Drosophila melanogaster: one gene and its partner. The protein of the gene in region 1 purifies or fractionates together with the protein of each later gene. This does not show direct contact. Each region holds a gene or a part of one and is shown in the gene's direction. Other genes may lie near its edges.

Evidence for each region. Proteins that work in one complex are often made in the same cells at the same time.
Region 2: the proteins of Drep4 (region 1) and Drep3 fractionate together in Drosophila melanogaster (co-fractionation; 2 studies listed by BioGRID, with this or other methods). This does not show direct contact.

Annotation. Positions count from the first base shown.
Region 1 is NT_033779.5:13,282,571-13,289,066, reverse strand, and holds Drep4 (DNA fragmentation factor-related protein 4), read left to right. Parts: upstream 1-2,604; 5' UTR 2,605-2,657; coding exon 2,658-2,897; exon of another isoform or gene 2,898-3,115; intron 3,116-3,241; exon of another isoform or gene 3,242-3,248; coding exon 3,249-3,372; exon of another isoform or gene 3,373-3,426; coding exon 3,427-4,415; 3' UTR 4,416-5,155; downstream 5,156-6,496. Other genes in the region: Uvrag (UV-resistance associated gene), read right to left, coding at 1-387, 440-762, 826-1,693, 1,754-2,127.
Region 2 is NT_033778.4:12,052,506-12,058,755, forward strand, and holds the start of Drep3 (DNA fragmentation factor-related protein 3), read left to right. Parts: upstream 1-2,583; 5' UTR 2,584-2,713; intron 2,714-3,463; exon of another isoform or gene 3,464-3,468; 5' UTR 3,469-3,515; coding exon 3,516-3,881; exon of another isoform or gene 3,882-4,042; intron 4,043-6,250. Other genes in the region: CG44314 (uncharacterized protein), read left to right, coding at 471-764.

The DNA of each region.
Region 1 (6,496 bases):
ATTGCCAGTGCCTCACTCACACCCGGCGGCAACAGCTGCTGGAGCAGTGCATCCTTGACCGCATTGACGCCAGTCGGCAGTGGCACATGATTCATGTCGACCGAAGAGTGCGATTGCGACAGGTGCGGCGCCGTCAACCCATTTGCCAAGCGTGCTTCTCCACAGCCAGCTCCAACTGCAGTTCCATCCCGTTCGTCGACCTCATCCCTTTGCGTTCGTTCGATGTAGCGAAGAGTGCTGAATAGCTCCAGCAGATTGCCAAAAGTGTTTCGCAGATCGCACTGGCCCGTGATGTCGAAGCACAGCTGCGAAACATTCTGGCGCAAAAGGTAGATGGCATACTTTGTTTGCTGCGACGGCAAAATGGAGCGTGTATACAGAGGAAATCTAAGATGGAACAATAAGATACCAAAAGGTAATATTTAGTCTGTGTGCTTACTCTCTTGTTGTGTACGTCAACTCTTTGATATCGTCCACTATCCTTGCTTTCGATGGCTCGTACAGAATACGGTTCCTCAGAGGTCGATCCATAATGATGGCTAACATCTGCACCAAATGGGCAACATAACCCAGTGCCGCACTCACTGCCAGCGGCGAGACGTTATCCAGAAGCTGTGCGTTTGCCGCCTGACGTGACTCGCTCGTGTATTGCTCCATGTGGGGGAAGGCGATGCCGCAGATACTAAATTGCCGACCGCCCACATTCTGGATGTTATAGATCTCCTGTAGCTCCAACACCAGTGTGGACATTCGGCGCTCCACCTTAAAAGGGTGAAAAGGTTTATTAATATACTTGTTTAATGTTATTTGATTCCGCAGCCCCACCTGCCGTTCTATTTGTCTTTTTTGATCGCGCTGTTCCAGATGTTGAGGTGCCAGGGTTCGTAGCTCCAGACGTTCTTTTTCCAGTCGATGTCGCTGGCTGTGGAGCTCCCATTGCTGTGCCTCCCGCTGTTCTCTCATCTCCTTCAGAAGTTGACGGGTGCGCTCGTTTCGTTGGCGAAACGTTTCCCGCTCCGCTTTAAGTAGCCGCTGTTGACTGCTTAGCGCTTCTATCCTTCTAGTTAGCTGCTGGGCATTATAAAGCGTGAGGGGCGCGATCTGCTGCTGCTCGGCGAGCAACACGCTCAGGGCGCGGCCCATGGAATGGTACTGATGGGCGGAGTAGTCGCCGGACAGCGATGTCGTGCGGGGCTTCAAGCGCAGCTCGTTCCTGGTCACACAGTGTACACTGAGGCGGGCTATTTCTCGGCAAACCTCGGCCATTTGACGCCGCTTCTGCTGATGCAAGCGTTGCAGACGTTGCAACGTGAGAAGCTTTTCGAGGTTGTTGCTTCGCCGAATCTCCTGCCGTTGGCACTTCAGCTGTGCATAGCGCATCGTACTCATTCGCAGCACGGGACTCGAACTACGACTAACGGCCGGCGAGTTTATGCCCTCATCCTGCGGCTCTTCTAGTTTCTCTTCCTCCGCATACTTTTGGTAGTGCAAATGCAGCTGCGACTGCAAGGCCTGCTCGCTTATCATCGACGGGGAGGCAAATTGCTCGCCATTCAATTGAAAGACCAAGCAATTTCGTCCGCACTGGGACAATGTGAGGGGAGACAGAGGTATAAGGCCGGAGAAGTAGACGCCCCAGCTGAACAGTAGTTCAGGAGGGCGTGGCAGCCTGCTGGGCGTTAACTGGGATCTTCTGGAAGTAAGTTGGTTGATGATAGCAGAGTTCTATTTGCAAGCAAAGTCTCCTATTTACCCGAAAACATCCTTATGTCTTTGCTCAACCTCAGGCGGTTGGCCATCTCTTCTTTCCGCCGAATAGTGCTTCCACACCTTGACACAGACACACTGCGCATTGGTTTTCCGCCAGGCCTCGTCGTCCGTACAAATCTCCGCCCACTTTTGCTGTTGGTGACGCTGCGGCAGCTTTTCGCTGGTGTAGAACGCTTCGCTAGCCTTGTCCGTGTGTAGTGTGTAGTAGAGGAGCACATCATCCGGATCATCTAGCTCCAGCGACTTCTCATGCGGCCAGGACTCAATATTGAATCCCTGAATTCTGTTAAGGTTCCGCAGTCGAAGTTGCTGGGTGGCTAGGGGCAGCCACTTGCGGCATCGCGGCCGTAGATTCATCGTAAAACGCCTTTCCGGGTGAGCTGCGGATTACGCGGAGCCCGTAGCCCAGATCATTGTACACTAAGACTACGTTTGTTATAGTTTTTCCACAGAAACTTTTAACAAAAAAAATGATTACCCGAACAGCTGTTTTTAGATGCATAAGTGCTGCAAAACACTGAAGGCAATAGTGGTGGGAAATGCGCCGTTCAACTTGTATTTTATTAATTTGGCTATTTTCATTTTATTAATTTACACATTATTTAATTTAAGAATAAATGAAAATTTTATCAATTTGAATTGATTAATAAAAATATAAAAAATATTTCGTTAATTACAAAACACGGGAAAAAATAAATTATTATTATATAGCTTTTTGCAATTTTTAGCTAAAATTGCAGCACAACTAAAGAATCTTTCAATGAGAATCTAGTGTTGAGAAGCGCGAAAAATGCCTTGTTCTGCTAGTTTATTTTGCTTTGTCCGCGGATAAGGAAACTTGCTGCGAGGACTACATTCCAAAGTTGACTTTATTATGAGCCAGAACGATGATCAGCTACATTAGAGATGCAATCATGTCACCGACAACACGCAGCAGCTCGAATAACAAGAAAAGCAGCCAGCCAACAGGCGAAGTTCTCAAGGATGTGAGCTCATCCGAATCCAGGGGAACAGCAGGTGCTCCAATGCGTGGCTACAAGGTTACTGACAACGAGCGAACGAGGAAATACGGAATCGGAGCCAATTCCCTGGAAATGCTGATAGCCAAGGCAAAAAGCAAGTTCCCGGTAAGAAAAAAAAAACAGGAAAAACTCCTGCGTAAAAGCGCGAAATATACACCCACCCACGTAGATGGGCTGAAAGTTCCTGGCTCTGGTAATTTTCAAGGCCATGTCCCTGGCAGTGGCTTCCGCGTTTGTTTGGCTCTCTTTCAATGCCACTAGTAAATGCCAATGCGCATGTCCTGTATAGTAGAGCTAACCACCTGTTGATGGAACGTCCTTGCCTGGCAAAAAAAAAAAAAGAGAAATGTGAAACAAACTGAAGGCCCCTGAACCAGGAATTGGGCGACCTGGCCTCGTTATAATTCGGCCATGTCAAGGGCATTACAATTAAATCGTTTTTTTTTTACCTTTTAGCTTCTCGAGCCACATTTGTATTTGGCTTCTGATGGCTTCGAGGTGTCCGACGATGAGTACTTAAAAAGCCTACCCGCCCAGACGCTGTTCATAGTGTCTGGCCCGGATGCAGTCATTACAACAGGTGAGCTGCAGTTTAAATATTTAACTTAATCACAATTAATCTGTCTTCTATTAGATGCCGATTTTGAGTTTGAGAAGATGCGACAACAATCGCCTTTGCTAAAGGTGGCTGACATTTTCTACGATTTTATCGAACAGCATCCGGAAAAGTTCCGCCGCATGATAACGGAGTATGAACACCAAAAGCAGCGACGCGTCCTGGATAACAGCAAGACCCACCTCAGCTTAAAGGCCGAGCACGTGGAGTGGTTCACGGGCGGCGAGGAGCGCTTCCACTCTAAGGAGGAAGCTATGGCCACACGTGCCCAGACACGTGTGCGAGGCTACTACTATAAGGCCAAGGAGGAGCTGACCCGCAATCCCTTGTACCGCCAAAATGCCAAGGCCCGACAAGTGATAAACTCTGTGCTGGAGAAGTTTCGATACCTGCTCATCGGTTGCGACTTTTTCTCCATGATGTTTGACCGGAATTGCAAGCAAAAGCATGAATTCCTGAAGCAGCACTTGGGCGACGAGGAAACAGACGCTGGCAGGATACCCAGCAAGAGACTGAGGCAGGTGATTAGGGAGTACACCAAGGAAAACTGCATCCTCGACGAATGGTCCACTTCCTTGTGCTCCGACTTGGGTGACTTCTATTGCCAGGGCTCCTATTCGGAGAATGGCAACAGCTGCTCTAAGCAGCACACTATTAATCCGTACGCTTCGCGTGAGAATCTCATTTTGTTTCAGGTCTGGAATCTGGACCACCAAATCGAACTGTGCCGCACAATCCTTCCCGCACTTGTTGCAAATGTGGAAGAACTTGTGAGTCATCCGCAGACCAAGTGTTCAATTCATAAGAAGCAAGTGGTCGATATCTCAGTACTGGAGTACTTTCTAGAAATATTCTCCCTAAAGAATCTCAAACTAGTGCACATTGTCTGTCATGAGAAGGCGCAGCGCTCAAACCGTTCGAATGGTCGCCTACTGTGCTCCGACTGTCATGAGTATCGCATTGTGCAAGAGCTGATGGAAGTCCAGGTGGACAGTCTAGCCACTTAAATGGTATGTGAGAAATATATAAAAGTTACCTAGCCAAGCAATATTGTACACAATAACTTTACAAAATGTATCTACGAGTTTTGTTGCTATTTTTAAACAAATATTGTATATTCAGTTGTTAAGCATATTATATTGCTGATCTCATATGGGATAAGTTGTACAAATGGAAATTATCTCGATGCCAACTATAAAAACTTACTGTTGAAGGTTTTTCATAGTAAATACGTAAACTATTAACATACTTAACATATGCATTTAATGTTCATATAGCTTTTCAAACTATTCAAATTAAGTGACTATGCAATATCGGTATATAATCTAGAGTTAAAAGTTAGTTGATTGTAACGCTAGTAGCTAACAATTTAAAGTTGGCGTTACACATCGATCAGCAAGTCCAAACTATGAAATATGAAAATATTGTATGTTATGAAGTATGTATACTCATGTAACGAATTTAAACAAAAACGTAACAGTATGAAAAGGTTTTGCTACACTTGGCTTCTCTGCACCTCTACAAGTGTTTTATTTTTGTATGGGCCATGTATTCAAGAGCCAAATCGTCGGTTTTATTTCCATCGATATTGTATACAAACAAGTACAAGTTTTTTGATTTGACTTCTTTATTTACTAAAAATGTTTACTGCATATAAAATTGTACAACACAAAATATAGTTTATTTATGTATCAAATAATAATATTCAAATAAATGTGCAGAACGTTCGTATGCATACGAACTAAGTAAAATAATAAATATTGATGACAAACAAAAGATAATATTCATAAATGAAATAATATTGTTCGCAAGTAACAAAAATATTTAATATATTATTAGTCGTGTTTGATGTGCGCTTTCGTGTTATCCGGATACATATCAAGCATAGTCGATTTCTTGGATTTTGTTTCGTTTCGTTGCTACCTCATTGCACCTGCATTCTTTATCTTAACTTTTAGGATTAGTATATATTCGCTTTCGCTATTTGCTTCGTAGTTGTGTTAGAATTGTTTTGTATGGTTTTAGTGCTGCTACCAAATCGCGTTCAACAATAAAAACTTTCGATTCTCAGTTACAATGATGTTTGTTAGTGTAAAGAAATTTTACTAAAAACTTGTTCCCGTTCCCAAGTTATTTGATTGTGGCGATCCTCAGAGTGTCTGGTACTTAAACTACATAACTATAACAAGCAATCTGATTAATATTCAGTTTCGTTTCGATTTCTTTATGATGCTGTTGAGTTGCTATAATTGATTTCTATGGCGTTGAGAAATAATTATAGATCCGATTGACCAGGTCCTGAAAAAGATTAAACCAAGAAGAGTGTTACTTTAAAATGGTTTTAACTGGCAGTGACAAACAAATAAAGCTAACACTAAATTGTGGAAACTTTCCAGTCTTGACTTGGCCATGAACACCGATTCAGGTTCAGACTTACGTACATAAAAAGTAAACGTAAAAAGTAAATAAAAAATATATAACAAAATCAGAAATATTGAAGCAGCAACTGAGAAAGTGCAAGTGCCAGGCAGCCAAAACAATTTTGAGAGAAAACTTCACCTTTTTTTTAAACTTTTGTTTGTATTATTCATTCAATTCAGTTCAATTCGATTTAAGTTTTGGGGTAAAAGCCATTCATTGTCATTATTAAAGTTAACGATTAATGTTTGTTAAAATATTTATTTCTTATTGTGTGTATAAAACAAGTTAATCGAGTATAAGAGAAAGAAACATTTAATTATGCATTTGTAAACTCATGAATGGTTAATGTAACGAACGAGTTTTCGACAAGTCATATTGTACAATTTTTCACTTTATATTTTTTCACTCCATTATTTCGATAGTTTTTATTTATGGTCTCAACAACAAAAGAGTAATCTTCATTCGTTGTTCTTTGCAAGGTGGAGTTTGCTCTCCAAGCTCAAGTTTTTAGGGAAGCATTTGGGGAAGGAACTACAATAGTGTAATAAAAATATTTGCGATGTAAAAGGGATTTTTTTTTATAAATATCTATGGGTCCATTGAACAATAATAAATGGGAAATGGTAAATGCATTTACTCATAGTATTTACTTTAAATTATTTGTTGA
Region 2 (6,250 bases), on another chromosome or scaffold:
GGCAGGGGGGTGGTGAAATCAACGTGCTTTGTGGGCGGCAAGGGCGGTCCATAATTGTGCAGTTAGAGCCGCTGGCAGCCGCAAACTGGTGCTTAGATTGCCTCATTTGGATGTTTGCTTTCGCCATCCGGAAGTCATTATGGCTGCGGATATGGGTATGCTCACCTACACCACGAGAATCATTATTCAAGCGAAATTAGTGGATTTTATAAAATCGAAAAGAAAATTATTAAATTATTATTATTATTATCATTACTATGTTATACATAGGTTGTAGCATACAACATAACTTAATGATAGAATTATTATTTTCGTACCTGGTAAATATTGTTTCTACTCACATTAACTTTAGTTTTTCAGCTAAATGGATATTAAGTACTTACTACATTTTTTTCTTGAGTGCAGCAAGCCCTGGGACAGTGAACAAGCTGTCAGTAATGAAAATTCAGACAGGTTTGGCAAATACAAATATGAAATTATCCGTTTTGTTTATCGTGATGCAGTTGCTGGTGCTGCTGGCTGCACAGGCGATTGACCTTTCGCCGCCGCCGCAGCAGCAGCAGCAGCAGCAGGGTGCAGATGTGGCAGCCAGCTTAAAGGAGCTGCAAGGGGAGATGGCGCATCCATTGGGCAGCCAGTGCATCAGCGATTGCCTCGCCGAGAAGGGCAACCTAGTGCCGGATCAACTGGGTGAATGTCAGCAGGTCGAGCAGCAGTTCGACTGTACACTGTACTGCATGTTTGATGTAGAGCCGCGCTATTAAGCCATTAACCGATATAGTGCAAATACGCACAGGCTTGCTGGCCATTAAACCAATTATGGCCAGGACCGTTGCACGTAGGTATCCTTACACAGGAAATACACAAAATAATGAAGTATGCCATTAAGGGGGGGAAATGTAATTGCTTGTTACATGGCGGCAAGGTCGATGCCAGTGCTTTTTTTCTCTCATTATTTTCCATTTCACATTTATTTTAATTTAATTAAAATGTTTGCCATTTTCTTTTATACATTTTTGGTTTGCCCCGCATCGAAATGCTATTTTTTTCCATTTAATTTCATTTAGACTGCTGACAGCAGGCGCAAATATTTGGCATTTACCCGTACCACTGCCTTATGTGTTTTTCGCCTGACGAGTTTTTGGCGAAAAGTGCCACATATCCAAGGACCAGGATCAGAGGCCATTTATCATCGCCACATGCGGCGGCATGACCTTTCCGACGACATGTGAGTTAATTAATCTAACTGGCCAGACGGCCAAGGTCGTGCATCGCAATTAAACATGGCAGCTGATGATGAAGGGAATTTACCTTCGCGACCAGACGCATAAATTTCAATTTGCACCTATGCATTTAAATTGATGGCGATGGAGGTCCTGCAGCAGGACCAGCATGCTGCATATGCGAAATGCGAATAGTTGTTCGCGCCGCGCTTCAATGCGCAATTAGCGGACCATGGCCCATAAATTATTTGACCCGCCGGCGGGGGAAAATGGGAAATGGAAAATGGCGGACGGAAATGAATGCCCAGCAGGGCGAATAAACAGATGAGCGTGCAAAATTCGCCCAGCAATCCGAATCCGCTTGGGCCTAAAGTATGCACTTCAGGTAGTTGGGACAAGGACCAGGCTCAAAATGCGTAAACGAGATAACAGGCCCACAGATATATTGTTATCCATCACGTGACTGCAGTTGGAATCACGTGCTCAGTCCATGTTCAATGCCGAACTTCCGTAAGCGGGCGCAATCAAATTAACCTTGGCTCACGCGGCGTATGCGCAATATTTCAGCCATTTAAGCCCAGTGCTGTGATAAATGCAGCTAAGTGGCTTTGTTTGCTCCCAATGCGAACAAATTCGATCGACGTACAGCGTCTCATGCATTTTAAATATTCCGCCAATGCAAATGCCAATAAATCTCGGCTTTTGTCTCGCCCTCAAAGGCAATGCACCTTTGTTGAAAACTTTTGCCCAGCTCTGGGATGCTTTAATTATGCAGCCAGCAGCAGTCTCATTATGCCGAAGTGACATTTTTCAGCTGGACGCCAGAGTTTTTCGCCGAAATTGCAAACTTTATTTTTATTGCATTTTTAAACTTTGCCCTTAAGCGCCTGAAAGTTCAGGCTAAAATATTTATATTTGCCATCACGCCCCGCAAATACACTGTGCTGTTTGTATTCGTTTTTATCTTCTTGTGGTCCCGGCTAAGTAGAACTATTTGCAGCTGCTCCAGTAAACTTTTCCCACCTTCCAGGTCATAGAATCCCGATCCCAGGCCAGAGTTCTTTTGTGCCAACTTTACTTTATCCGGCATAGGGTCTATGCTTCTGGCCCGGCACGCCCAGCGTGTCCTGGCTAACAGGAGCCTTAACAGAGCGCTCGCTCTCTCTCTCTCTCTCTCTCTTTGCCTCTCTTTGCGAGTGTCCTGCTCTCACGGCCAAAGCTCCGCGAAGGTTAGACTTTGCTGTGTGTTTGCAGGACCTGCTGACTTTGCGCCGTGTGTGTTTGCGCTGGCCGAGGCTGTCGGCAAACTCGACGAGTCCTGCCACGTTTAAATACAGCACGCACAGACGTCTGGCAATTTATTCCAAGTTCGGCCGGCTTTTGTTGCACTTGGCTGCTGTGAGTAGTCGGCTCGCGATCTCAGCCAGAATCGCGTATTGTAATTGTTGCCGGAAGATGTGAAGAATTCGGTTTTTAACTTAAAGTGCACGGTAATGAGAAACAAAATGTTGCTTCTAGAGTTCAGAGTATATAAACCAACTATCTTTTTGTCTAAAAGAGGCTTGTGGAAATTATGGAAAATAATTAGTTTAGCTTTCATGATAAAAAACAACAAGCAAGCACATGCAAACTATATTCTTTTAGACTTATAATTGCCTCTATAAATTTAAATGAAGTTTTACCAAACAAAAAAGTTGGCCAATTATATTCGTTTGAAAAACTCTAAACACGTTTCTGCATCGTCATATATGGAGCTTTACTATCAAATACAGGACACCAAAATTGAAATAGTGCAAATTACATTACTATATAAAATTAAAAAAATAATAATATTTTGTAGATATTTTTTTTAAGTCGTTGGTAAAAATGTACAGTATTTAAAGAGCCGATGGTGAAATTGTAATGCAATAACATTCCATGGTCTCCTTCTTTTTTTTTTGGTCTCTATAAACTTCGTTTTCTATGTGGCTTTAAGGTCAAGCAATTTCAGCAATTGCAAAACTTTTTTAAATCAAAGCCAAAACAAAGGCCAAACAACGATTTCGTTATAAATTTTCCGGTCGAAGCAAACAACGTACACGCGTATATGAAATAACAATAACACAAAGTCTGGCAGTTTTAGTATGCTTGGCTCAGCTTTGAAAGCATCCCCGAATGCCATACAGCATATTTCAATTATCGTCTAAATTTGTTTTGCTCGTCATAAATCTCTTTCTCTTTCGACCATGTTTTTCAACCAGTGCAGCAAGGAGTCCAGACAAGGCGAACAAACTCTCGAGACGAGGTAAATACATGACAGCAATGAATGCGGATGAGACAAAGCTGGCTGGAATGCCTCAAGGAGCTGAGGAGGAGCAGGAACCGGAGAGGGAGCAGAAGAAGGAGAGCGATGGAGCAGCAGCTGCAGCAGGAGTACAGTGTGATCCTGATAGCAGAATAGTGGCTCCGCCGCCCAGGCAGCGGACTCTGACAAGGACGGCCGAACTGGACGCGGACTGCGAGGACATCGAGTTAGATGCCGACGATGGTTTGGACGATGCGGCGGATAGCATCACCTTGGAGTTGGCCCTATCGCCGCACAGCAGCGCCACGCCCACGCCCTCGCCCACCACCGCCGACGAGGATTTCGCCCAGCTGGACAACAGCAAGCCCTTCAAGGTGGGTATTCCACTCGCTACTCGCACATCCTTCATGTCCTTTGTGGCATTTAGCCACGCTACCTGGCGCCCCGTCATCTGGGCCAGCATTTCGTTAAGTGATTACTGCGGTGCTATTGTTACGCTTGATGGGTATATAGTAAAAAAAAAATAGAAAAAATTAAACTGAAAATGGAGGAAAAAGTTTGACGGTCAGGACGAACAAAGTGAAGGGTTCCCCGACGGAACGGCCACTTCAAAGCCTTCGGCGTTGAGTGGCATCATCGACATTGGCACTGCTGCTGAAGTGTTGCTACCGGTGCTTTATTCGCCCTTTAAGCATTCGTCCAACTTTTCAATTCGCTGCAAGAGTTGGTGCGGGAAAAAATCCGGGAAAACAGAGCTGTTTCCTTTTGCCCTACCAGCAGCCCACTCCGCACTGCCTTCACCATGGCAAACTCCATTTGATTGTGAGGATTGCGTGGCCCTGCCCAATTTGGAGCACAGAAAGAAATGATTAGGGTCACAAATAGTCGCTGTCAATTCTGCAAAGTTTACGAAACAATTTACGCATCCGTTTACCTATTTACGAAACTTTTAACTCTAAAAACTGTGTGTGAAAGATACAACACATCGACACTTGCAAGAATAAAACGATTCTGTTTAGTATTGATATGATTTAACTTAATTGAACTTGAATGTCCTTATTTTGATGATCCTATATCCAATTACCCACTTATAGTAAGCCATGCTCAGTAAATCACTAACACTATCAATACAATATAGTATAGACCATATTTCACCCTCTACTCAGATTAGCTTCTTGCAAATTTTTTGCCTGTGTGGCTGGTCAACAATGAAAATTTAATTAAAATGTTCAAACTGTTCAGTTGCATAGGGTAGTGGGATCAGGATGCGGGCGCCCAATTGTCTCGTATATCATTGTGGGCCAGCCAGCTGGCCAATCATCCAGCCATTCCGCCAATCGCCTCCAGTGCCACGCCCACATCTAAGCCGCCTTGTGGCGTCTGTGTGGGCGGCGATAACTATAAGTAGGTGTCTTGGCCACGCCAGCTGAACACCCTAATCGATGTATTGTGTGTTAACGGCATCAGAGCGATGGCCATAACAATATAAACTGGCCAAAAGATCGGCGTCTACGAGATATCAAGTGGCTGTAAATTTGCCAGGCGAAAGCAATTAATTGACGGCTTGACGTGGCCGAAACGCGATGTCATTTGTCAGTGGCAACCGACCGGTGATGATGATGATGATGGGTGAGCGTGGGCCACGTGACGTATGCGTAATTCATGCGCATTCCAGCTAATTAATAAGCCTCCATCTTGTCTGCCATCTGACACGGGCATCTTCTTTATCGAGCTCTCGGGGAAATTGCCAAGGTTCTGATTAAAAACACTGGATGATATAATCCTGGAGATATAATCCCTTTGACTAATTCCAGAAACAACTAAATGAGAGTGAAAATTAAGGAAAGGGTTGGTAGTCAGAGGCCAACACATGAATGCGTGAGGTAGGGTTAATAATATCCTGTGTTCACGTATTGGCCCTTAGGTTCTTCTCGGTATGAAAATAATTTGCATCTCTTCTACTTAATATCAGATAGTTCAATTAATTCGATGGTTACCATGACTGATTTGCAGTTTGGTTTACTCACAAGGTTAAATTGGTTTAGATCTACCGCTGAACTGAAAACTCATAGCAGTGCTGCCACACAGAAAGACATTTTTGACTTGAAAATATGAATACCTTAAAAAACAGCTGGAATTCAGTTCAGAAACTAAATCAAAATATATGAAATAAAGGAAAATTTGATTGGAAAAGAGCTAAGTCGGCAACAGTGCCTACTAGAGACTTCAGTTGGCTGCGTACCAAATTATTTTACTTCGCATGCAGTTTTAGTTAATATTTTGCTTAAGGAAATTCTGTGGTTGCCCAGAACACTTCTGGTCCTGGCAGAAAATTAGATTCCTGTAAAACAAATCTCATTGGGCGAGGAAAAATCCAGCTTTCATTTTCCCCACTGGCGTAACGCGCAAATGTGTTTTTCATGTCACAGTCATTTGGGGTCCACAGTCCACCTACGGGCATCACCTTTCGGTGGGTGTCTGCAAATGCAAATGGTTTAAAAATAAAGCCTGATCCATTCGTTATGGAGAGGTTTACATGAAAGTTGGGTCGGATATTAAATTAGCAGACATGCCGCATGGAACAACATCAGCAAGGAGATAGGCAAACAAATAAACAAATAGAAACGAAGAGCAAACAGAATATGTCGTACTGTGACTGAGACATCGCGTATACGCAACGTTGCGCATTAAGCCAAATAAACGGGCATTCTTCGTGTCCAGACAAGCGTGCAACTAAGCGCTC